Linked DNA regions of Astyanax mexicanus. The protein of the gene in region 1 interacts with the protein of each later gene in a biochemical or structural test. Links are inferred from orthologs where the notes say so. Each region holds a gene or a part of one and is shown on either strand. Other genes may lie near its edges.

Evidence for each region.
Region 2: the proteins of fermt2 (region 1) and ilk form a complex in vitro, tested with the Homo sapiens proteins (2 studies listed by BioGRID). The link is inferred for Astyanax mexicanus from reciprocal best matches to the Homo sapiens genes FERMT2 and ILK.

The regions. Positions count from the first base shown.
Region 1 is NC_064421.1:15,588,422-15,600,324, reverse strand, and holds the start of fermt2 (fermitin family homolog 2), read left to right. Parts: upstream 1-5,150; 5' UTR 5,151-5,441; intron 5,442-7,301; 5' UTR 7,302-7,302; coding exon 7,303-7,459; intron 7,460-11,903. UniProt on the Homo sapiens protein: Scaffolding protein that enhances integrin activation mediated by TLN1 and/or TLN2, but activates integrins only weakly by itself. Binds to membranes enriched in phosphoinositides.
Region 2 is NC_064427.1:35,779,032-35,790,934, forward strand, and holds the start of ilk (integrin-linked protein kinase), read right to left. Parts: upstream 5,393-11,903; 5' UTR 5,265-5,392; intron 3,385-5,264; 5' UTR 3,247-3,384; coding exon 3,158-3,246; intron 1-3,157. Other genes in the region: timm10b (mitochondrial import inner membrane translocase subunit Tim10 B), read right to left, coding at 9,297-9,842, 11,424-11,519, 11,637-11,663. UniProt on the Homo sapiens protein: Scaffold protein which mediates protein-protein interactions during a range of cellular events including focal adhesion assembly, cell adhesion and cell migration.

The DNA.
Region 1 (11,903 bases):
AGGTGTAGTATTGTCAATAACATTGTGTTCTTCACACTTTTCTGTAAAATTCAGTCAAAGAGTCCAGCAGGTATCCTCCACATCTGGTTATAGATTAACCAGAAACACAGAAGGTGTCCCTTAGCGACTGTTATTTAAATGTAATTGTGGCATTGAGCTTGAAAATGAGAGCTGTGCAATAACCCATGCCTGTAATGGATTCAAACTGCCATCCGAATAACACTGTATTTATTTCAGTTTATTAAAGCATTACTTTTTTTGGAATATCAAGGCTTCTGCTTTTTCTGCATACAGCTGCACTGTTGTCCTTTACATGAACCACAATTTATCACATCGGCAGAGATTATAAATAGAGTAGCGTCGCCTGAACAATGTGAGCGGTGTTGAAATGTGTGTGGGATGAGCAGAATTCCACAGTGAGAGATTCTTTCAAAATATTTTGAAGACTGTCTAAACTGAGGCTGCCCAGGCAGTCCTCCTGTGCTAATTTCTTGATAATAAAAGCCAGTGAATTAAACACCCACCACTGCCTGTAATTTGCCATATGAGGCATGGCGCCTTGTTTGTTGTTTCTTATACTATAGCGCTTTGGACTATGGATAGATCGATCGAGCTTCCTGAAGCTACTGGCCATTAGTGTCAAGAATACAAATGATCAACTGTACGGGTTTTTGGCAGAACCTCACAAAGCTGATTAAAAAAAGCTGATCTCAGGACTGCAGTCCATCCACCACTATCAAAAGTAGGAGAGATAAATGGACGTGTTGGCATGATACAAAGCACCATCCTATTGTCATGCTTAATGTGTGTCTAAAGGTGCCATATAAGACATGTTTTTAGTATTTTAAAATGTTATAAATATATATATATATATATGGTTGGGCGTATGGTGGTTTTAACAGCACCAAAATGATACTTCTGCAACATCGGCTCACAGGACCTTTTTTTTTTTTTTTTTTTTTTTAAACACTAACAAAACAAATCCCTAATTCCTACTACCAGACAGTGTTACTGTTCTCTGAGCATCGTCTTCACCTTACTGTGCCCTCTTTGTTCAATAGATTTTGAAGAGATTGGAGCTTGATTAGCTTTTAGCCTGGCACTTGTCTAGCAATTGCATGCTTCTCCTTCTAATGCAAGTTCAATTTATTTCAATTCAATTGTATTCATATAATGCATTTACAACAAATGTTGCCTACTTTGGCATGGTTGTGGTGGTAAGTCTGATGTAAGTTTGTCCAGTTTGTTTTCAATGAAAGCAGAGATGGTAAAAAGCTGTCTGGCTATAGACATAGCCTAGCATGTGTACCTGCTCATAGCCTGAGATTTTTAGCTTCCTCACTTGCCATGTTTGAGTTACTGGCAGACACTAGCATGAGGACAGCTGTGGCCTGGAGTTCGGGTTTGTGTAGAAACTGTTGGCGTATGGTGGTGTGCTGCAAGTATAAAAAAAAAAAAAAATTGAAAATTGACTAAAAGCCACCCTATTCAGTAGCTGTTTTGGTTATTGGTTATGCTTCCTTTGGGGAATGGACACAACAGTGTATGTGGTTCACAATATTTTACTTCCATGTTCCAAAATCTAATTATTGAACTGTACCAAAAGATTTTAGGGCACATTGGAAATAAAGGTAAATCCTAACCTTTTAGTACCCTTTGCATAGTGTTATGGTTATATACAAGCCTGTAGGGGGGTGAGAAAATTAATGTTTATCAGTATTTTATAAATTGTTACAATACATTTCACAACACTCACTAGTTGCATATTTCACTATAAAGAGAACATTTTACGTAGAAAGCAACAACTTTTTTCTGCTCCAGCATTTCACACCTCAATAAAACATAGCATATGAAAATCATTAAGGCAAATAGCCTAAAGTATTGTAATAGTTTGTATTTTCTATATCACTTTTGTTTGCCTTTGCATTTCTAATATTTTATAGCTTCATAGCTCATCTTGCTAAATTTGAACTTGACCTAGCATTATAGTACAGCTAGAAAATTGTTTAGTGCATTACATTTACATTCATGTTTATTGCATTTGGTATATCTTGTCCAAAATCCTTCAAAAAGGAAAACATCTTACAGTCTCAGACAGCATAGGGAGGGTGTTTAACCCCCTCTTTACAGGATGTTTGACATGTCCAGCTGCCACATGCTGAGAGCTGCTAACAGAGGCCTTTAACACAATGTCTTTTAACAGTTCCTGTGACCGAGAGCTAAAGTTCATGGGGTAGGGGTGCAAATTACATTAGTGTTGCTCATCATGTCGATGTTCGTAGAGTCACAGAACTGAAACTGTAAGCAGAGCTGCAGTCTAGACTCTGTCCAGAGTAAACATGAGCCTGGGTTTATTAGTCAGTGAAGAGTGAAGGCCACCTCAAGGCTCTGGCCAGCAGATGGCAAACTGCTCCATGTTTTTCTGTGCCTCTCCTAATAAGTACTAGTGCTGAATTTTCCATTAGCCCAGCCCAAATCTGAACTGCTTCATTTTATTTCTGTATGAAGTTATAGTTGTAAATGGATTCACTATGCAATACTAATACCTCACTGTTAACATTCTCTTGGCAGCTTTATGGGTCTTTTTGGTTGTTATAAAGGATTTAAGAATTGTAATATTAGAAGGATAATATGTGCAACAGGTAGTACTGTATTTCCTATACTAATCATGCCAGTTTTAAATATGAAAGAATTGGAATTACATTTGTTTTAGTTTCAAATGGTTTAAAATTTTGTGTTTTGAGTGACGTTTTTAATTTTACATTAACCAAAGTGATTTATTTTTTTGACTTCAGTGAAACCAGCTAAACTCCATTATTTTAGGTTGAGTGACAGGCTGTCTGCGTGTGACCTCAGCGTTCCTCTATGAGGTACTTTTCTCCACTCCAGTGTGACTCAAAGGCTGACTCTTTGGCCTTCTCCTGCAGGCCTCTCCCCATCCACAAGCCCCCATTTCACTCTCACTCACTGTTTACACCGTAATTAAAACACGGCCTATAAAAGGCAATGGCTGTGTTGCCAGACGCTGTGGAGGGGGTCAGAGCAGCAGGGAGAGAGGTTATAAATCGCTTTGATGCAGTCCAAGGCTTCTGCCTGCATTCTTGAGCTGAAGCAGGTCGTGCAGTGGAGCAGCCAAACGCCCCGATGATTCATGCTGCACTGTCCCATCTGAGAAGGCCTGCTAATGTAGTCCAGCGCTGAGGAGAGAGGAGCAAACAGCAGCACAGCCATCCATCACTTCACTCTTCTGTTCTATTCTGTTCTATTTTGTTCAGTTCTATTTTATTCTATGTTTTTTTAAAGATGTATTTTATTGAAACTTTCTCATAATATATTTAATGGTTTATTGTGATGGCAGAGGTTTTGACTGATTTACAGTCTGCTTTGAGTGCATTTAGATTACTGAATTAAAATCTGTTACCCAGACAATGCTGTGTACATCAATGTTTAAACTGCATTGTTTAATAGTTTAAAGGTTTTAGTATAATACATTGTTAAGTTGATACATTAAATATTTTTTCTGTAAATGTATTGGACCACTGTGACAAGATGTATACAATGCAGTTTTATGAATAAAAAGGTTCTATTTTGTTTCTAATAAGAATTAAAAGGCTCCATTAAATACACTCCAGTCATGCTATTCCAGTGTAACTCTTTCACTGGGCTGTATTTCAGATGATTAATTGTGTGTAAATCCCCAAAAAGAGCAATGTTGTACTCCCCTTGGATGTAGTAGGGCAACATTAGTATTATTTCCATAAAAGGCAGTCAGTTATACTGGTCAATAAATGACCCTTCAGACGGCTCTAGTATTTTATTATCTGTTCACTTGGGCTTGTTTTAGAGCATTTGGTGAATTCGATAACTGTGTAGTATAACAAAAACAAACCCATATAGTTTACCAGTATAATATTGGCAAATGTGGGGTCACATTTTAAATCCTATTTCTACCATGATATATAAGAACAGGACATTTACCTTCTAGACAGGCTTAAAACAACAAAAAATTGTATTTCTGTATTTCTATGGGACTCTTATAAGATGAATAATGTACATTATTATTACTATGTAAAGCTAAACCAGGTCAAAAGCTTCAAACGTCACAGCCTATGTTTTACCAAGTCCAACATATCAGAAAACACATCAAAAGCAGTGAACATCTACAAACATAGAAACATACGAAAACATATAGAAGAAATCAGAGCTCTGATGCTAACTTTTTAGTAGATAAACAGTAAAAAGTTGCAAAAAACATTTATACAAAATTACATTTAACTTCACTTTTAACATATACAGCTCTTGAAAAATTAAGAGATCACTTAAAATTATGAGTTTCTTTGATTTTATTTTATTAAAAACCTCTGGAATATAATCAAGAGGAAGATGAATGATCATAAGCCAGCAAACCAAGATGAACTGCTTGAATTTTTGCACCAAGAGTGCCATAAAGTCATCCAAAAGCAGTGTGAAAGACAGGTGGAGGGGAATATGCCAATATGCATGAAAACTGTGATTAAAAATGAGGGTTACTCCACCAAAAAATAATTTCTAAACTCTTAAATCTTTATGAATATGAACTTGTTTTATTTGCATTATTTGAGGTCTGAAAGCTCTGCATTGTTTGTTATTTCCATTTCTCATTTTCTGCAAATAAATGCTCTAAATGAAAATATTTTATTTGGAATTTGGGAGAAATGTCCGTAGTTTATAGAATAAAACAACTTAATTTTACTCAAACATACCTATATGCCTATAAATAACAAAATAAGAGAAACTGATTCAGAAACTAAAATGGTCTCTTTTTTCCTGAGCTGTATATTATTTAATAAGCACACAAAATATCATGTATATCAAAATATAAAAGAAACTTTTAAGTGGGCTCTTTTTTGTCCAGCGCTGTATATAAAGCAAAACAAACTTATTTTCATTAAGTCAGATCATTAGATGGGCCTGAAGGCAGCATCAGTGTAATAAATCAGTGCTGCCCTCAGAGCAGACCGCCCTGCTGGACTACAGGAAGATGCTGAAGTGAGGAAGGGGGCGAGGGGTAGTGCGCGAGGAGGGCGGCGCGAGGCTGCGATAGAAAGGAAAAGTGGGATTGGAGCACGGAGTGACGTTATCTGGTGGAGAGAGGGAGTGAGGGAGGGAAGAGAGAGAGAGGAGAGAGAGAGCGCCCGGGTGAGAGAGTGAGTGAGTGAGAGAGAGAGGGAGACGGCCACTGGACACCATTAGCTAGCTAGCTAAAGCCCTGAGGAGGTCCAGCTAGTTTTGAGGGACTTTATTTGGACCAGTCCTTTTGGAAATCTCCTCAATGAGTTAAAACACGTTTCAGCTCAAACAAAAGGAAGAAATAAAGGAAAGAAACGAAGAGGTGTTGAGTTTTCGCAGCGTTTGGAGCTGAAGTGGCACTTGTGGATTTGGTTTAGCGTGTGCTGGTGAAGGTGAGTGAGCGAGTGAACGTTATTTTTACGTTAAATCTTTCGTTAATTTGAAAACGCGGGTCGCTATAACCCGTCCGCGCGAGTGTATTTTAGACTAATTTCTCGGTGTTTGCGGTTTTATTGAGTAAAATATAACTTTAAAAGCACTTTTAGTGTGGTTTCTGTCGCGGGAATATAGTCAAACCCGCGGTGTCCGTTAGTCTGAGGAGTTTTATGAGGAGTTGAGGGACTGAGGGAGTGAGTGTGGAGCTACTTACGCAATCCTCCGACTCCGCCAGTCCAGCTTTACCGTTAGTTCTACAGATCTGCAGGCCTCGCAGGTGAACAGGCCCGCCTCACATTTAACACTTTTCTTTATTTAACCCGAGCCTCCATACCCCGTTTACACCAGCTGTACGGTCAGACTAGCTGCCTAGATTTACTGGTGGGTTCCTCGTATTCAAACAAAAGCCAAGGCAGCGAGACTCTTAAGTTACAGCATTAAGTTAACTCTAGCTGGTAACAGTTACAGGAGTGTTGAACTAGAACTGTGGATGATATGAACCTAGTTTTAAAAACTACAAAATAAAAGGCTGTACCAAATTCATCTATGGCATGATTCAAAACTATCTTTGGTTATTGTCTTTTATGGTATTTTGTTTATTACACAATCCCATACCATACCAAAACATCTAGGCTTACAATTTGGTCATAAATAAAAATGTGTAACTATAGTTATAGGTGATACAGATATAACGTTAATCTATCTACTGTAGATATAACGTTAGCGTTATAATGGAAAATGAGAACAGTGTGATTTATTATTTTAAATAAATGCTTAAAAACAGCAAAATAGTAGTATCCTACTATAACTAGGGGTGGGTGAAATGGCACGATATTTCAGGATATAATATCGTTCACGATATTCAAAAATGTTTGCGATGTTATTGCATACAATACGGTATGGCACACCCAGAAGTATATTTGGCTGTTTATATTCTTACTATATTGTTAAATTTGTGTTGTAAATTGTGAATGGTACAATATAAATTCTCCAAAGTTAACTTACCTGAAATAAACTCGTTTTACATTGACTTCCATTGACAGTTAAGAAGGTTTTTTTTGTTTCTGTTTTGGAGATAATTGTATGATTGCGTGATATAGACCTGTCAGATAACTATTTTTGCTTGATATAGCCTATTGTACCAGAAATATGTGCTAAACAATATTATTGTTGTATGCATTTAGGACAACTGATATACTGGAAATACTGTTTTCCCGAAATATGTTTAAAAAAAATTTCTTTAAGAGGTCTTGGCTGCTTTGTTATGCTATTTTAGTATCATTATATCAGTGGCATTTAAATGGTCTTAACATGACAATAGTATCATATTGTATTGTAAATTCGGGCCTACCCATACCTGTTCTAAAAATAAAAGTTGAATACAGAAAAGTAGGTAGTTTATCTTGGTCATACTGCCCAGCCCTACTCATATAAAACTGTCATATTGTCATATAAAACTGTAGTTTACATCAAATGTATTGTGCTTAAATGGTTATCTGCTTATTAAAGCTAAATTGGCCAAACGTTTTAAAATTAAGTGGTGTGAGAAAAGCAGTTTAATCATTATGACCAACACAACAACAAATGGATGGTGAGCTTTTCTTTTGTACTTTTTTCCACAAGTAGATCTTTACATTTTGTCAGAATCTCAGAAATATCATTATTTTCACTGACTTTAATATAAAGGTTTTTTTCTTGTGTAAAGTCGCCATCTTACGTATAAATAATTTTGTTCTTATGCCTGATGGGACTGAAAGAAATGAAAGAATGAGGGCATAGTTTGTAGATGAAACACTGATTGCACTGATGTTTTACAGGATGGCGCTGGACGGTATACGGATGCCCGATGGCTGCTATGCCGATGGGACTTGGGAACTGAAGATGCATGTGACTGACCTCAATAAGGATGTGTCTTTGAGAGTCACTGGAGAAATTCATATTGGCGGAGTAATGCTGAAGCTTGTTGAGAAACTTGGTAAGTGTTGCTGCCTCTTCCATCTCCTTGGCCCCTGTAGCTCGTTAGTGCTGAAGCTCAAAGTGCTTTATGTCTTACATCACAGTTAGTTAATCAGCATGCAGTGTACATGGGACTCTGATCATATGATAGCTGTTAGTTCACAGTTCAGATAATCTTCTGGATCTTGGCAAGGTATCTTATGTGGTGTTATTTTAATGTCACAATTCCCTTTTGGTGTGTAGAATACTTTGAATGCTGGGATTATAGTCCAGTACATTAAGCTGCTGCAGGTTTTAAACGTTGCCTTACTTTGTTTCCTCAGTGATTAAAACTGAGCCTTTTTGAGGTGCCATGTTCTTTGTGTTTTAGTTTCATTTTCGGTAGTAGTTTGAATATGTATCGATGGGTATGAAACATAAATGTGAAGAGTCAGATTAGCCTTCATAAATTTGATGTGTTGTGCTTAAATCTGTCTCCCTATCTGAATTTGTCTACCCTTTTTGTGCATGTGTGTCAAACAGCTGTTTATACTCCTGATGTTTCTGGTCACAAATAACTGTTTTTAAACAAACAACAGCACATCGCTTGAGGTGAGACAGATTATGGTGCAAAGTCAGAATTCGGCAAAACACTGGCGATGCAGCAAAACAACTTAGGCTGTGCGCTTAAACATGTCAATGTGTGCATGTAGTTTCAGGAACAGATTTTTTTGTTCATATTACATACAGATGTAGGTTACTTAATGAATGTTAACCTTTAAGACAAAATCGAAATTGATTACTGCAACTGGGCAAATATTCACACATTTCAAAAAGGTGTATGGAAATTTGAATTCACGAACATTAACAATTGTACGACCACAACAGAAAAGGTATAGTTACATATTTACAGACACGTCAGTTTTGGTTCAGTGTTTCATTTGTGGACTTTGTCTTCCATATTGTTTAGTGAAACACACTTTGACCTTGATATTGAGCTTAACTTTGTCTTTAGTTTGCCAGAGAACAACTTAGCATACAGTTAAACTAGTCCATAGTTCAGCTTGTATTATAGTCTTTATGATAGCTTCTGTACGTGCCCCTGTCAGCCACAGGTCATTTCCTTGAACTTGTGAACCAACCCCAGTAAGAGTTTGCATGAGGGACGTTATTTTGGACTAACAATTATTAACCCTTGAGCGAAGGCTGTTGTGTAAGTCCTTGACTGTATACTGTGAGTTACGCTCCATGCTCCACTGCTCTTGATTCAGCAGCAGAAGCAGCTCAGAGTAAAACCAGCTTTAATTCCATTCCCACAATTTTCCCACAAAGTCAAAGTAAAAAAAAAAAAGGAGTGGGACATTGTACTATTGACGTGACTCTTTCGATTCCAAACCATGATAAGATGCAGTTCTTAGCCATGTCATATCTTCACTGGTGGTTGTTAAGAAATGTGGAAAGGGCATTTCTGAGTGAAATCTTGTGCAGATAGTTCTACTCCAGTGATCAGAGAATTCATCGGTCTTGCTATGATTACATGTTGTGATAAGTGGTGGGGTGAAAGTTAACTAATTAAAATAGAAAGTTTCTTCCGCAGTTTGCCCATTATAGAGGTCACGCACTGCCTGTGAGGAAATGAGCAGTTTCAGAGCAAGAACGCAAGTAATGGTTACGTACAAGAGGGTTCGTTGACCCAATAAGGCTCTCTCTGATGATTTAGTAAGCTAGTTTGTGGTGGAAAGTCCTTTGTCTGCTCCCCAAGCTTTCAGCTTCTGACCTTGTTTTAATCTCTCCCTTCCCCCTCTGTGACATTGCACATATGAGAACAGGCACCTCTAAATTGTTCTCAAGTCATTGCTGTCACGTGTTGCTCTGGACTCTGTGATTGGTCAACAGTCGTCAGATGATGCTTGTCAGATGACTCGCTCTTTCTCTCTCTGTCTCTCTCACTCTTTCAATTTTAATCTCTTTGTTATGGGTCTTTTCGCGCCCTTGTAAGATTGCTTTTAAAGGGATATTCTGTCCTGGCAGCTTTTGATGATGCAAGCTTAGCAGCACATACCTGCGGCACACGTGTCCTCTGTCTGTCCCCATACATCCTTTTTCCACTGACAGGCTCAGCTCGTGCTTCAAGCTCTGAAGGACTTTCCTAGGCCACAGTAGGCCCCAGTGTGTCACACTGTCAACATGGTGCAGCAGAACTTATGTGAACTTTTTGAACTCTAAATATGTCCTGTGTAGTCCTGGGAGGTTAGATCTATAGATAATTACTAAAGGGAAATATGTTTACGACGACACCTTTCAGTTTCGTGTAGAAACGCCATCCTAGTTGCTACTTTAATAAAATACAATGTAGCATGTTTACCAGTACAGACGCTTCTTTATTTATATTATTTATAATTATACAATGTCAATAAATGCAACAAACAGTCAAATCAGTCAAACAACTTTTTTTGAGAAGGCAACTAATGTATTTGTTTTGTGGCCCCGATAACGTTTAGTTTTTAGTTTAACTGTGTGGGGAAACCCGGCTCAGCACGGTTTCTAAGCATTTCGTGCCCAACAGTGTTTGTGTTGAAAACCCACTGAAACGGTTACCTGCTGTGCTCAAAACCGTTCAGCCCTCTGCTGTGCTATAAGTTTCCATTTGGAAACACTGTACAAAAAAGTCAACTAATAGCAGAATTTACATTAATTTTGTATCATTACTGAGAAATTATTTATTTTTCTTCTTTTTTAATGCAAACATTATTTGGGATATATTTCTAAAACATTTGATTGACTTCCAGACTTTTTTGTTTTCATATGCAAACCACTTCTATACCATCTTTTGTGTGCCCTTTTCTGCAGCCCAGGCTTTTTCTCTCAGCAGTGCCTCTAAAAATCTTAATGGATTAAAATGTGAACGTCAGGAAAGTGCTTTATTGATCATGCTGGTCATTTCCGCCAGACCTTGTCAGGAGAGAGTGGTTAACGATCAGAAATATCAATCACATGCAGTACTACGTGTATTTTAAACATTGCTATCCTGTAATTTAACCATTCTGCCACAGTATGTAGCCTTTGGTTTTTGGTGTGCAGAATTTTGACTGTGGCCAAGAGGTGGGCAGTATGACAGTATTGTAGCATGTCGCAATACTTATTACATTTCAGAGAGAGGTCTATATAAAATTATAGTAGGGGGAGTGAGGAAACACCAGGTTTTAGTTCATTTTTTAGTTCAGTGAGTATATACTCAGTGTTAAGCATTACAGTATTACTGTACTCAGTTTACTACTTCCTCAGAAACTGGGCTAGGATGGCAACATTAGTCTAGGTAACTTTAACAAAATACTGACTGCCTTTTCTGTTTCAATTTTAAGTCATGAAGCAAACATGCTTGTGTTAAGCATTGTGTTAGACTGTGGATATTCTTTTTTGAACTGTAAAACCTATATAAGTTAAATTAAGCTAACTGAATCCACCTTCCTCTTTTCTCTCTTCTTGTTCTGACTTATTTCTTATTTGTTATACTTATTTTCTTCATTCTTATCAAACTTCTTCAATTCCTTGTTAAAACAACAACAAAATGTTTTATTGAGATTGTTTCATGCAAAACAGTGTGAAACAGTAATGTTGCAGCAGTGTGTATGCTGTCTGTATGCTGTGTATAGTCTACTATAACATCTACTGTGATAGTGTCTTTATATACCATGATATAATATTTTTTCCATATCACCCAGTCCTGTTCTTTCTTGAGACAAGATCCTCTTTGTTTCACAGAGAACGATACAGCTGAAACTCCAGTAACCCAGAACTGAGACATCATTAAATTGAGCCGGGCACATTTTGTAAAGACGCTGTGTGTACCCGACGTGAATATGTATTAGTGTCTGAATTCTGTCATTGAGTGAACAGTCTCCTCTTTTGGGACTGAAAAGAATGCATTATCATGAGGAAACCAGATTGTGTGGGACAACTGTCTTAGTCCCCACACTTAATTAGAAAAGTGTAGCAAGGGCATTAGATGAAGAAAATGAAATGGGTGGCATTTATTGAAGTCTGCTACTTGAGTTTTTTGCTGATATTTACAGAACTTTTATTAAGAATTAAATCAGTTAATAGAGTTGTTATGGAGTGGACTAATTTCTAAACTATTCTACTGTTTTGTCTTGATCTTTTGGAGAAATAGACAGAGCTATTGGAAAGTTTTTTTTTTTTTTTTTTTTTTTTTTTTTTTTTTTTTTGCTTTAGGGAGAGGGGTGGGGGCTGGGCCACCCTTGTGTGACGTGGGATGTTCTAATAGAATTCCATAAAAGTCTTATGTTGAACAGGAAATGACTTCCAGAGTTTGGCATGTTCCCTGGACTCTGCCGTCATCACTGCATTTTCTGCTGCCTGCTCAGGCCTCGGGTTCTCTTCAGTTTTTTGGCTTGTAGTGAATTATTCCTTTTTTAGGCCTGAGTACTATTTTTCCCCCAAATGTTGTGTAATTGTTATCTTAA
Region 2 (11,903 bases), on another chromosome or scaffold:
TCAGGGCCAAGCTCTGTGAAGAGGTCCAAAACAGCATAATTAGGAGGTAGCGCTACACTTGAGCGAGTGAACAGCAGTGGAAACCAAAACCTTGGCTAAAGCATTAATTTTGGAAAAAGGAAAACACTGGAGAGGAGCGAGAGAGGATGGGAGAGAATATAAGAGAGAGTAAAGGCACTTTTCCAGAATCAGATTTTTTTAAGTATGGAGAAAAAAGTGCAGCAAGTAAAAAATAAAAAATATATTAAATTATGTTTTTCATACAAAAAACTTCCAATGCTGAGTATTTATTTTTTTATTAGAACCTCTTCATTTTTTTGTGTTGACTAATCTCCATTGTGCCTGGATGCAACATTAATCATCCACATTTAAAGTGCGGTGGAACTCCTTTACTCACTACAACTACAATGATGAGCTCAGTAGAAACATAAACTATAAGGGCTGTTTATCTAGTGATACAAAAAACCTGCTGTACTTCTGGTCATAATTAAGTTCAGTCTTCAACGCATAATTAAGTTCAGTCTTCAACGCAATTTTGTGTGGTTAATAACTTTATCTCTGATGTGCTGGTGTGCCAGTAGCTACTCAATGCACATGTACTCTTGAGAGGGGTATCTTGTTAGCCTTACTCTCTTTACTTCACAAAATGTGAGTGTGCGAGTTTTAGTCTGGGTCAAAAATGGCAAAAAATAAAAAATATAAATAAATAAAAACACACTAGACCGAACAAGAAAGGACAGGTTGAGCTTGCATCTGCAGTAAGAAGTAAAAACACTGGCTTTCAATCAGTGTCTGCAGCCAGCTTCAATGTAACATCTAGAGATTAAACAATAAACAACTGAAACATCATGTGACTGAGAAGCCCCCTATAAACATTGATGTTGATCGATCCTTTAATTTCTACTGCAGAAAAAAAAAAAGAGTACGGAATGTAGAAAATAAACAAAGAAACTGAAAGAGTGTAAATGAACGAGTGCCCAAATACACAACTTTTAATGTCTTTTTAAATTTTGTTCTTATTTACTCCCTAGGACAGGGATTTTTATATTTATTGCCTCAGGGTTAGATTAGATTACGCAGCAAGATTACACAGGAATCGTGCTAAAGCAGTGATTCTCAAAGTTTTCAGCAGCCCCCCCAAGCACCCAAAAAGTTGGCTGCTTTTTTCTGCTCAACAAATATATCATGCAGTAGAGGGTTTTGGCTTTAAGGGCACAAGAAAGAGAAAATGACAGAATGGACTGGTAAGGCTCAAGTCAGCATGCTCTGGTTAGTGAGCTCATAGTATGGAAACTATTTGTCCCTGCCATTCCTGCACAGTCCAGCTACTCCTCCCCCTCCCTGCTCTGACGCTGCTCTGAGTATAGTGCGCAAGAGAGGCTACACATAATGCGACACATCCCTTATGTTAGTCACACTGTAAAACACATACGGACAGATTCCTGTGAACACAGTAAGTCTGGTCTGGATCAAAGAGGTCTCTCCATTTCAGAAGCTTTCTCAGCACACAGACAGTAGCAGCCTGGCTGCTTAGCTTCATAGTGACTTGCACAGTTTGAAATGTGCAGGAAATGCCAAGATAAAAATCTACATCGGACGTGACGATTCTCTAACCCCCTCACGTGTCTGTGCCCCTACCCTGAGGAGTAGTAGTTTCTCAGGCGCTGCTTGCTGTGAGCGTGCCATTGCCTGTGATCCGCTGATCAGACAGCGTATGCGCTCCGGCATGTTAACACTCCCCACTGGGAGTGTTAACCACACACTGCTTTCCTGCAGTAAAGAGCTTAATTAAAAGCAGAGGGATGGGTTTAGATCAGAATGACAAAAAAAAAGTGGTTGTGATTGGGCTCATTAGACTCATCAAGCTTAAACATCACGCTCACAAATCTCTGACAAAACGATGATCAAATATGAACTGAACTTTGAACTGAATAGATGAGCGTGACTAAAATGATTAATCCACCTGTTTGAAAGCAACCACAGTCATTCTGCCGCACCAGCTGTCTGGAAAACATTACCAGAATGCAGAAAAGACTGAAAGCCAAGGCTGCTATGAGCAAGAGTTTGGCAGGGGGGAGGTATTCCAAGACACACAAGAGTCGTGGATCAACGCTGCGTATTCTCTGTACCATATAGGGATATGATTTCAATTCTCTTCTCCAGCACGTGCAGAGCCTTTTCTATTAGGTCACCTTCTGAAAGTGGCCTTTGTTGCCCCTTAAGAAGCCAATAATGCTCTCATAATGTCAATAACATCACTATTGGGAATTTCACTGTGTCTGAAGAATCCAGGCAGGTTCTTAAACTTGCGGACAGTAAATTTCATCGGAAATGTGTGTGAATGTGAGGCAGTGAGAAAAAGTAAAGAGTATATTTATAGTATATATTTATATTTTAAGAATGTTTATGGACATCATGAGGCATCATATACAACCATTCAACCCTATTCCTTATCACAAGGTGGGGTTATGTGGTACACACTTTCTACACACTCTACCTTCAGACCTCCTTACAAAGCCACTCCCCAAACCGCAGGAACATGCAGAGCTCATGAGCGCATACGAGAGATGTACAGGACATTTAGGGAAAAAAATTTAAAAGAACCCAGCAGCTTAAAATCCTCTCAAAACATGAACCACATTTTATAGCAGATCTTCTTGATACCAAATTTTGTAGGAAACTAAAGAACAAAATATTTACATATATGTAGACCTAACCCACACTGGAAACAGGAGACATCACACCTGACATCATTCCAAACTGAGGCTATTATGTCTTAATCTGTTGAGTTAAACAACACTGCTCAACCTCAATCCCTCACAATCAGATAAAACAACACTGAAAAAAGCCTGACATGAACAGACCAAGTCAAAAAAAAAGGGAGCAGCCTTCCGGAAAGATTAAAACCTGAGATAACAGTAAGAGTCAGAGGTACGCTGAAGAACTAAGGAAGGTTTCAGTTCAAAGAGGAAATACTGTCAAGATTAGTGTTGTGATTATGCAGGCTCTTAAGAACCCATTCATTACCTCAAAAATAAGCGATGACTGTATTTTGTCATAATTGTGACTCTTCACTTCAATTCCTGATAGCTGGTCAGCAGCGTTTAAGCTATAATTCATTTTTGCAGATATTTAGTGCATTCAGGAGTCAACTCACCCCTGGTTTAGGTCATTCTCAGTGTTGTCCAGCCAGAGGCGGACTGCTACGGCATTGCCCTCTCTGCACTGGGTGAAGATATCATCCATTGCAGCTCCCCCTCACTCTTCGTACTGGTAGAATCCTTCTTCCCCTACCAGGAGCGCCCTGGGAGAGGGGTGTGATGCAGTGGTACCTAGATGCCACAAGTGAAGGGCAGTGGACCATTCAGTTACGGTGCAGGCCGTCTGGAAAGGGGGAAAAGAGACTGTTAGCATAGGATACAATGGGAATATATGGCATACACTATGACTATATAATTGACATCTTAAGCACAGCCAAACATTTTTTTTTCTAATCTGTTTAGTAGAAAAGGTTGAATGACCCAGAAGTTACTGCCCCTCAGGGCTTTTAGGGTCAAGAGAACTTTAAAAATAGCTTGCTGTCCATCCAACAACTTTTAAAGTAGGAAAGCTTGGAAATCTGTTAAACACAAACATCTGACTGTATGGTCCACGGTACAGTTTTTTTTTTTCCTATAATAAACCTCAGCTCCCAGCCAATATCACTAGCCTTTCCCAAACACACATACTCATCCCTTAAGGAGTCAAAATTAGTTTCTTAATTTGAAAACTTATATTGCAAATCTCTCACACAGACTAGGGCTGTGTATTGGTAAGCACCTGATAATATGATACTGATTGTGATACAGGGGATACGATACTACATATACTGCAAAATACTGCCATACAAATGTTTAAATCAAAATTGGAAAGGAAATAAAAAACATAAAATCATATTTACTGATACTAAATACAAGAAAAGTTTACTTTTTATCAAATAAGAACACTGGGATGTATTATTGGGATGTTAATCCAATTCATTTGATTAATTAAATTACTTTTTTATAATATCACCCAGTTCTAGTGGGATCTAATGAGTGCAGCTGCTATATAGTGTTTTTTTTTTTTGTTGTTGTTGAAAACAAAATATCATGATACAATGCATTATCAATATTTTCTTACATCCCTAACACACACACACTCTCGAGTGTGTAAAGAAGACCTGCTATTCCTTAAGGAGTGCATGACTTTTCCTTGCTTTGGGACGCTCACATTCCAACACACACACATACACACATACATACACACATACATACACACACACACACACACACACACACACACACACACACACACACACACACTCTCTCTCTCTCTCTCTCTCTCTCTCTCTCGGCATCACCCCTGCTCTCTAACCTATGTGCCAATGACCGTGTAAAGAAGACCTGCCATTCCTTATTTTAAGGAATCCAAAACTTGCTTTGGGAAGCTCACATTCCAACACACACACACACACACACACACACACACACACACACACGTCTTGGCATTACTCCTGCTGTTCTACCTGTGTGCCAAGGACTGTGTAAAGACCTGCCAGTGCTCATAAACATACATTTAGCCATTTAACTCTATATGACACCAACTAACTGCAACTAACTGCACCAACTAATTAAGTTACAGACTACAGTCCAGCAGAAAACAGCTAGAAAACATTACATTCGAGTAATAAGAGACTAATAATACTTCAGAAACATGTTTTAAAGGGTGTGGACCTGAAAGTAAACAGTTTAAGCACTTTTCTGATTTAATCACACAATAAAACACTGCCTAGACATTCAGTCAGTTAGGATAACCTAGCTAACTAACAGCTATGTGTTCACTCAGGACTGGTGACGTTTTCAAAGCCAGAAAGCAGCTAGTAGTTAAAAAGAGGAGAAAACAGCAGACACAAGCCCTTTTATGGTATTTAACAAGCAAATAGTACAACCTAAATGTAATAAAATTACACTTCTTTCAATTAAAGTGTATCTTTTAATGAAAATAGCACGTTTTCCCTCACTTTACCTACTTTAGAAGAATAAACTGAGACAGCATTAGCGTTTTCACTCAGCTAGCAGACAGTTAGCTAAGCTAGTTAGCCTCTATACGCTAAGCTAGCTGGGTTAGGGTGTTAGCTAGCGAGCTAGCACCGTAAACAGGCAACTGCGGGCGGAGAGCTCACCACACCACCGTGAAACCGCCGTAAACGCTCGTATAAAATAAAATAAAAACACGGGTTTTACCTGGTAAAACTGTAATTTAGTCCGGGACGAAGCTCCAGGGATGGTAAGGGCAGTCTGACGGACACTAATGTCCACACCCTAGTCGGAGGTTGTAGGTCCTCCTCTCTCTGTGGAGGGAAGAGCTCCCTGCAGAAATCACGGTTTCATCGCCCTCTGTTGGAAACCAGCTCACAACCTGCCCTCCAGTCATATATTTTACACAGTGCCCTGGAGAAATGATTTTTTACAGTAAAGGAAATCATTATTTGATCCCTTGCTTCATTTAGTAAGTTTGCCCACTGAGAAAGAGATGAACAGTCTATATAGGGGACATTCCAGGATTTTGGTACATTTCCTGTCCCACCACTTAAATTTAAATTTACATTTCCAAAATATCTAAATGACTATTTTGTGACAAATGTACTTGTTATAAGACAAACTGTAAAATATGGTGGAAAAATAAGCTCCTTAGATATTATTCAAAAGACCGAATACCTTTGGACCACCTCAAAAAAAATGGCCGTTATCTCTTGTCCCACAGATTGGGTGACCAACTCCTTTGGCAAATTTAACAATTAAAATAAGCTCTAAATAAATGACTTCCTCTTGTATATTGTTGATATGCATCTCCTTTACTTATGAAAACAACTTCTTTGGTATAGTTTTTATGCTATTAAGTTGTGTCCCACAACATGCGCTCAACCCTGTTACCATAAGGAATTTTACCTGGCAGAGAAAGAGTTAAAAATATTTGTCTACTGGCACAAAGGAAGTGACATCACAAGGACAGTTGTGTGTGTCACCCAGTGAACGCAACCCTGTTACTCATATTGTAAGACTAATAGTGAGTAGAGTCAAAATTTACTTTATATACTTATATAACCATGTTTGTCCTTGATCTTCTATACATAGAAGATGTATGCTCCTCAGACAGACTCCGAAAGTCTTTTGTCCCTCAGGCCATAAGACTCCTCCCAGCACAGCAAACTAAAGACTCTGTGACACTTTTTCACCCTGGCAACTCATGGACACACCCTCAGCTATGGAGACACTCTCAGATTTGCTGATGCCTATAACACTATTTTTATAGTTCTACCCTATTTTGCACTAGTAGTTCATTCACTAGTTTATCCATCTACTGTCATCTACTATCTCTTTTGCACTGCTGAATTTAAATCATTATATAACTGTTTATTTGCACTTTCTGTATGGCTGACATCAGTTATCCTCACTTTATGCACATCAACTGGTGTTCACTGTCTATTGTTCAACTGCACTACCTCCATTCTACATTACAGACACACTAAAGACTGCATTTTTACATTGTACATTCTATTTTTTTATTTGACTGTATTTATATGTATCTTTATCTTTTATATATTTTATTTTGTAACTTTGTGTATTCAATTTGTAACTTTGTGTCTGCTGCTGGATGTCTAGAATTTCCCCTCGGGGATCAATAAAGTATCTATCTATCTATCTATCTATCTATCTATCTATCTATCTATCTATCTATCTATCTATCTATCTATCTATCTATCTATCTATCTATCTATCTATCTATCTATCTATCTATCTATCTATCTATCTATCTATCTATCTATCTATCTATCTATCTATCTATCGCTATATTTTACAGTTAGCATCTGTTCCTGGGGTAAACCACAACTTAGCCTAGCTTTGCAACCCTGTTACTCTAAGTTACCAAATATATTGCATAATCTAATTAAAAAAAACTGCTTTGATACCTGAGCTTGACAAATCAAACTTTTTGATAGCCTATTACCTGTATTTAATAAATATATGACTAAAAATGATCAAATTGAAGATCAAATTTTCACAAGTGACCACCTGACCACCCTGAAATGTACCAAAATCCTGGAACGTCCCATATCTTATTTAAGGGTAGGTAAGTTTTATCAGTAAGAGATGGAATATCAAAAATAAAATCTAGAAAATCACAAAGGATATAAATTATATACATTTATATAACTTCCGTTTATTTATACATCGTTAAAATGTGGTTGACATATGGTTGAAGTAATATCGTTAAAACAACATTTAATGTTAAATGGTTCGATCGTTTTCTACTTGTAGCAATAAAAGCTTTTTTGTTTGTAGTTGTACAGTTCCTACTTTTCAGAGATGTATATTCAGTATATAGAGAGACTAAAAATAAAATTGTTAATTTTTCTTCATGGCATACAGATTTTTTCTTCTTTCATACAATTTTAAGCGCCCCAAATGTGAGCTATGGTTAATTAAAGGTTGAACGTACGACATTGAAACAATGTTGGCATATTAAGAGGTGAGATTTTACATGGAGCCCCAGATCGATGTCGATTGACATCTACATTTGACTTAATATTTTATTGGGTCAATGCATTTTGTAATTATCAGTGCAAGCTTGTGAATATAGTCCGAACATTCTGACTTGAGAAAAGGTATTATAGTATTGTGTGGCCTCTGTAGGAAACTTTTTCTTGATCTCATTAGAGCATTTGAAATACTGATTAATGGCAGGCTGTAAAGAGTTTAAAAAAATGTTTAACATTTAATAAAATCTTGGTTGACCTAGAGTTTCAGACATGAATGGTTGCATTTCTACTATGAAGGAGGATTTCTACTTCATGTCCTTCTGCAACATTTCTGCTAGATTAAGGTCAGGTCTATTCCAATAGCTTTCTGGCTTGTTAATGTGAGCTTTAGCAAACTCCACACAGGCAGCAACATTCTTTTTGGATTCATGATCATTAACATTAGTCAACGTGAGAAAGGCCTTTAGTTGCTTAGAAGTTACCCAGCGTTCATTTGTGACCACACAGACTGTTACACTCCTTGTTTTTGGTGCGTTATTTGCTGGTTGATCACTCCTGGGGACGGAAATAACAATTGTCTTAAATATCTCCCATTTGTACACATTCTGTCTGCCTGTGGATTGGTGGAGCCTAAACTATTAGGAACACCAACTAATCTTTGACTCAATTGTTCTCGTTACCCATTTGGTTCTTGTTATTCTTTTTTTTTTATTTCAGGTTACATTTATGCAGATATTTAGAAAAAATGTTTCAAGCACTATTGTAACTGAATGGTACCTTACATTTCTATGCAAGTTGTTTTTATCCAGCAGTCATGACAATGACTAGCAGTGTTTTTTTTTCATAACCCTTGCTGTGCAACAGCCATTCTATTATTCCACATTCTGTTTATTATATTAGTTAACAAAATGATATAAAATTATATTTATAATTTATATTTATAATGATATAAAATCATGTTCCAAAATACCTTTACCAAGAAACAAAGAAAAGGTTACAACAAAAATTGTAAAAAAAAAAAAAAAGCACACAATGTAGTAACAGACATTTTAATAATTTATTCATTTTTCTTGAATGCATTTGAAAAATGCATGTTTTTACAGTCTTTACTTTGTATTGGCAACACAGTAAAAGGCTGCATCTTCTATTTTATCATACCGAAGATGAAGCTATTTTTTAAGCTAATTTTGCTAAATTACAGGAACACTGAAAGTTCAAACCGAAAGCAAAATTAATGGCAGTCAGAGTCATACAAGTGGCTGCCTGAACTGCTTCTACACTTTTAAAAACAGGTGTTTCTATACATTTTTGAGTCATTCCAGAGAAGAACCATGATTGTAACAGATGTGAGTGGGAAAGTTCTTTAGACTTTAATTATTTATATTATTAGGACTGCCCAAAGTTACTTTGGGACCAATAAAGTATCCAACCATCTCTATATTTTACACACAGTCTGCCACATCTCTCTAACCTAATGTTGAGAAATCTGGTACTTCTATATGTGTAGCTCAATAAATATGACCAAGAGTTTGCATCAATCTACATTAATAATTTATTGTTCCTAATAACCTGTATTTCTTTTAAATAGCATTGTAATCGGACACTTTCTTTAGGTACAATTGTTTTTATTAAGATGAGTATAATTTGCTTAGAAGTACATGATAAGATCTGTATTTTCTTTTCAAATTCTTCAATGTTTTAAAACAAAACACATCTCTAAACAATGAATCTATAGTCATGATGAACCTGTACCTGTGGATGTGCTGCTGCTGTCTAGTGTGATCTGCTTTAGAGCCAACTTGTCTATCTGGATGCCTGGCGCTATATTTGAATTTATAGAAGAACTAGTTCCCTCTGAAGATCCCAGAGTTGTTGGTTCTGTAACAAGCGATGGAACCAATGACACATTTTCAGTTTGCAGTCCTAAAGAGGGAATGGTAGTGGCTGTGCCACCGGTAGCTGGTGCTGGGACTGATGACAGATCACTTAGCATTGGCTCAGCAGCTAATGGTGGAAATGATACTGATGCAGCAGGCGTTTCTGCCGTCATCACATGTTCAGCAGAGAGCGCGGCTGAAGCTGGACCCGTTGTCGCTAAACCTCCAGCCAGCGGCTCCGCTGGTGTTCTAGCTGCCTCCTCCATTTTAGCTGCTTCTGCAGCCTTGCTCTCCATCTCCTCCATCCGTCGCTGCACCATCGCCGGCATCAGCTTCACGTAGGTGCCCATGAGGCGATGATTGGAGCGGATTAATTTGCTAGCACAGTTGTCTACACAGCGCTCCTGAAAATCAGAACAACTTGTAAGTGACTGTTCATATTTTCAGGTTCACAATTTAAAGGAAATGTAAATCAGACTGAATTTACAATAATGGCAACAGAAATAAAATAATAGATTTAAATTAGATGGTTATAAATTCATATCAACTACTTATGAAATATGAAACTACGTTTTGGACGTAATTAAAAATGTTGTGATTTATACAGTAGAAATCTGAACCTCAATTTCACATTAAGAAATGTTGTTTTTTTTTTTTTTGTTACTGTGAATAGATGACTAGTATAAACTAAACCAATCTCCCAAAAGGTAAGCCTGTCAATTTAATTTTATCAAAAATAAATCAATGTTAGCGGCTCGCCCAGTTGAATCGCAGAGCAACGCATCAACAAAAGGAATCACCTCAATCACTGTCTGCTGGCTGCTTTGGGGTGTGTCTCTTAAAAACAAATATTGGATGGTACCAAGGTCATTTTTTAAGCTTGTGTCCTTGTAATGTATGATAGTCAATATCCTAGTTATTGTGACAGACCATTAACTTCATGCAGTCTGAAAATCAGCTTATATTTTACTCTAGGGTTTGGCGATATTGTATTGTATTGTAATTGTAAAGTATTTAGATTTTTTTTCTATTTTAACTATATGTGTGAATCTCGATTACAATTTAGTTTGAATTTTTACAGCAGCATTTAAGGTGATGTGAAAGCTACTGTTTCCTTTACATTGTTTTTATATATTTTTTTCTAACAAATTGTAGCTATATATATATATATATATATATATATATATATATATATATATATATATATATATATATATATATACAGTAATTCAGTTAATCAGATGAATTCAATTAACCCCCACAGGTCTGTTTTACTGCCTTAGGTTTTTACAACAACAGATATTTTGACAAGTGTCTGGGATGAGTTGAGTGTAGGGTTGCCATTCATCCCATAATATACAAAATTGTTCTTTATTTGGCAATCAAATGCCTGCGATTTGTTCTATATTCCCATAAATGTTCAATACACGTGTCTGTCTTACACATACATCAACACTAAATGTAATAATGATACATAATTATCACTTTTGTTATATATGTGATTTTAGTGCATGAGACATGGCTCGTTTTTGTAGACTATTGTGGTTTCTTTAGGATGTTAAATTAAACAAATGATAATTTATGTAATATACAGTAGTATTAGCCAATATAAATATTATATATGGACATTTAAAGAACAAATAATACTAATGGATTACCAATTAATAAATAAATATATTTGATTAGAGAAAAAATATCAATATAAATACACATTTAAAATATAAAAAATATATTTATAATATAAGCTAACCTACATCCGTTACACTAGCTAGACGGATCTCATAAACTGACCAGTGAGTGCAAGAGTAAGTCAGGTGTTTCTAATAAAGCTAATCACAATGTGAGCATGTATCCATAGCTCATTAAAGTTGGGTGTAGTTCATCATCATAATCATCATGATCCTCTAATCACAACATATTGAGCTCAGAAGTAAATTAACAGACAATAAGCTTGTTAAACTACGTGTCCGGTCTCGTTTACTCACTTCATCCATGGTAAGGTTTCTGTAGTTGAAATTAGCTGTGCATCGCTGGAAGCAGATCTCCGTCATTCGATTGTAAACAAGTAGGAAATCACGGAGCTGTAAAACCCAAATAAGGTAAATATAATATTATAGAAAATATACTTTTATAAAATTCAGATGCTGATCAGGTGTGAGAATCAGGATGCATTAACGCTGCACCTTAAACACACTTACATTCCGCAGTTGACTGTCAGCGTCCATGCTGTAAAGGATAGAGTACAGAATACAGAGTATTAATCAGTTTAGAGGGTAATATATTCTCCTGTTTGCCCGCTTTCTTCACGAACATTCACTGGACGAGCAGTAGCGTGACTTTCACAAGAGCGCAGCCATGTTGTCGTCACGTGACCAGACGACAGGCAACGTCACGCTCGCGTCAGTGTTTTATAAAATACACTAGATACACACAAATAAAATATACTAGGCGAATAGTAAAAATCT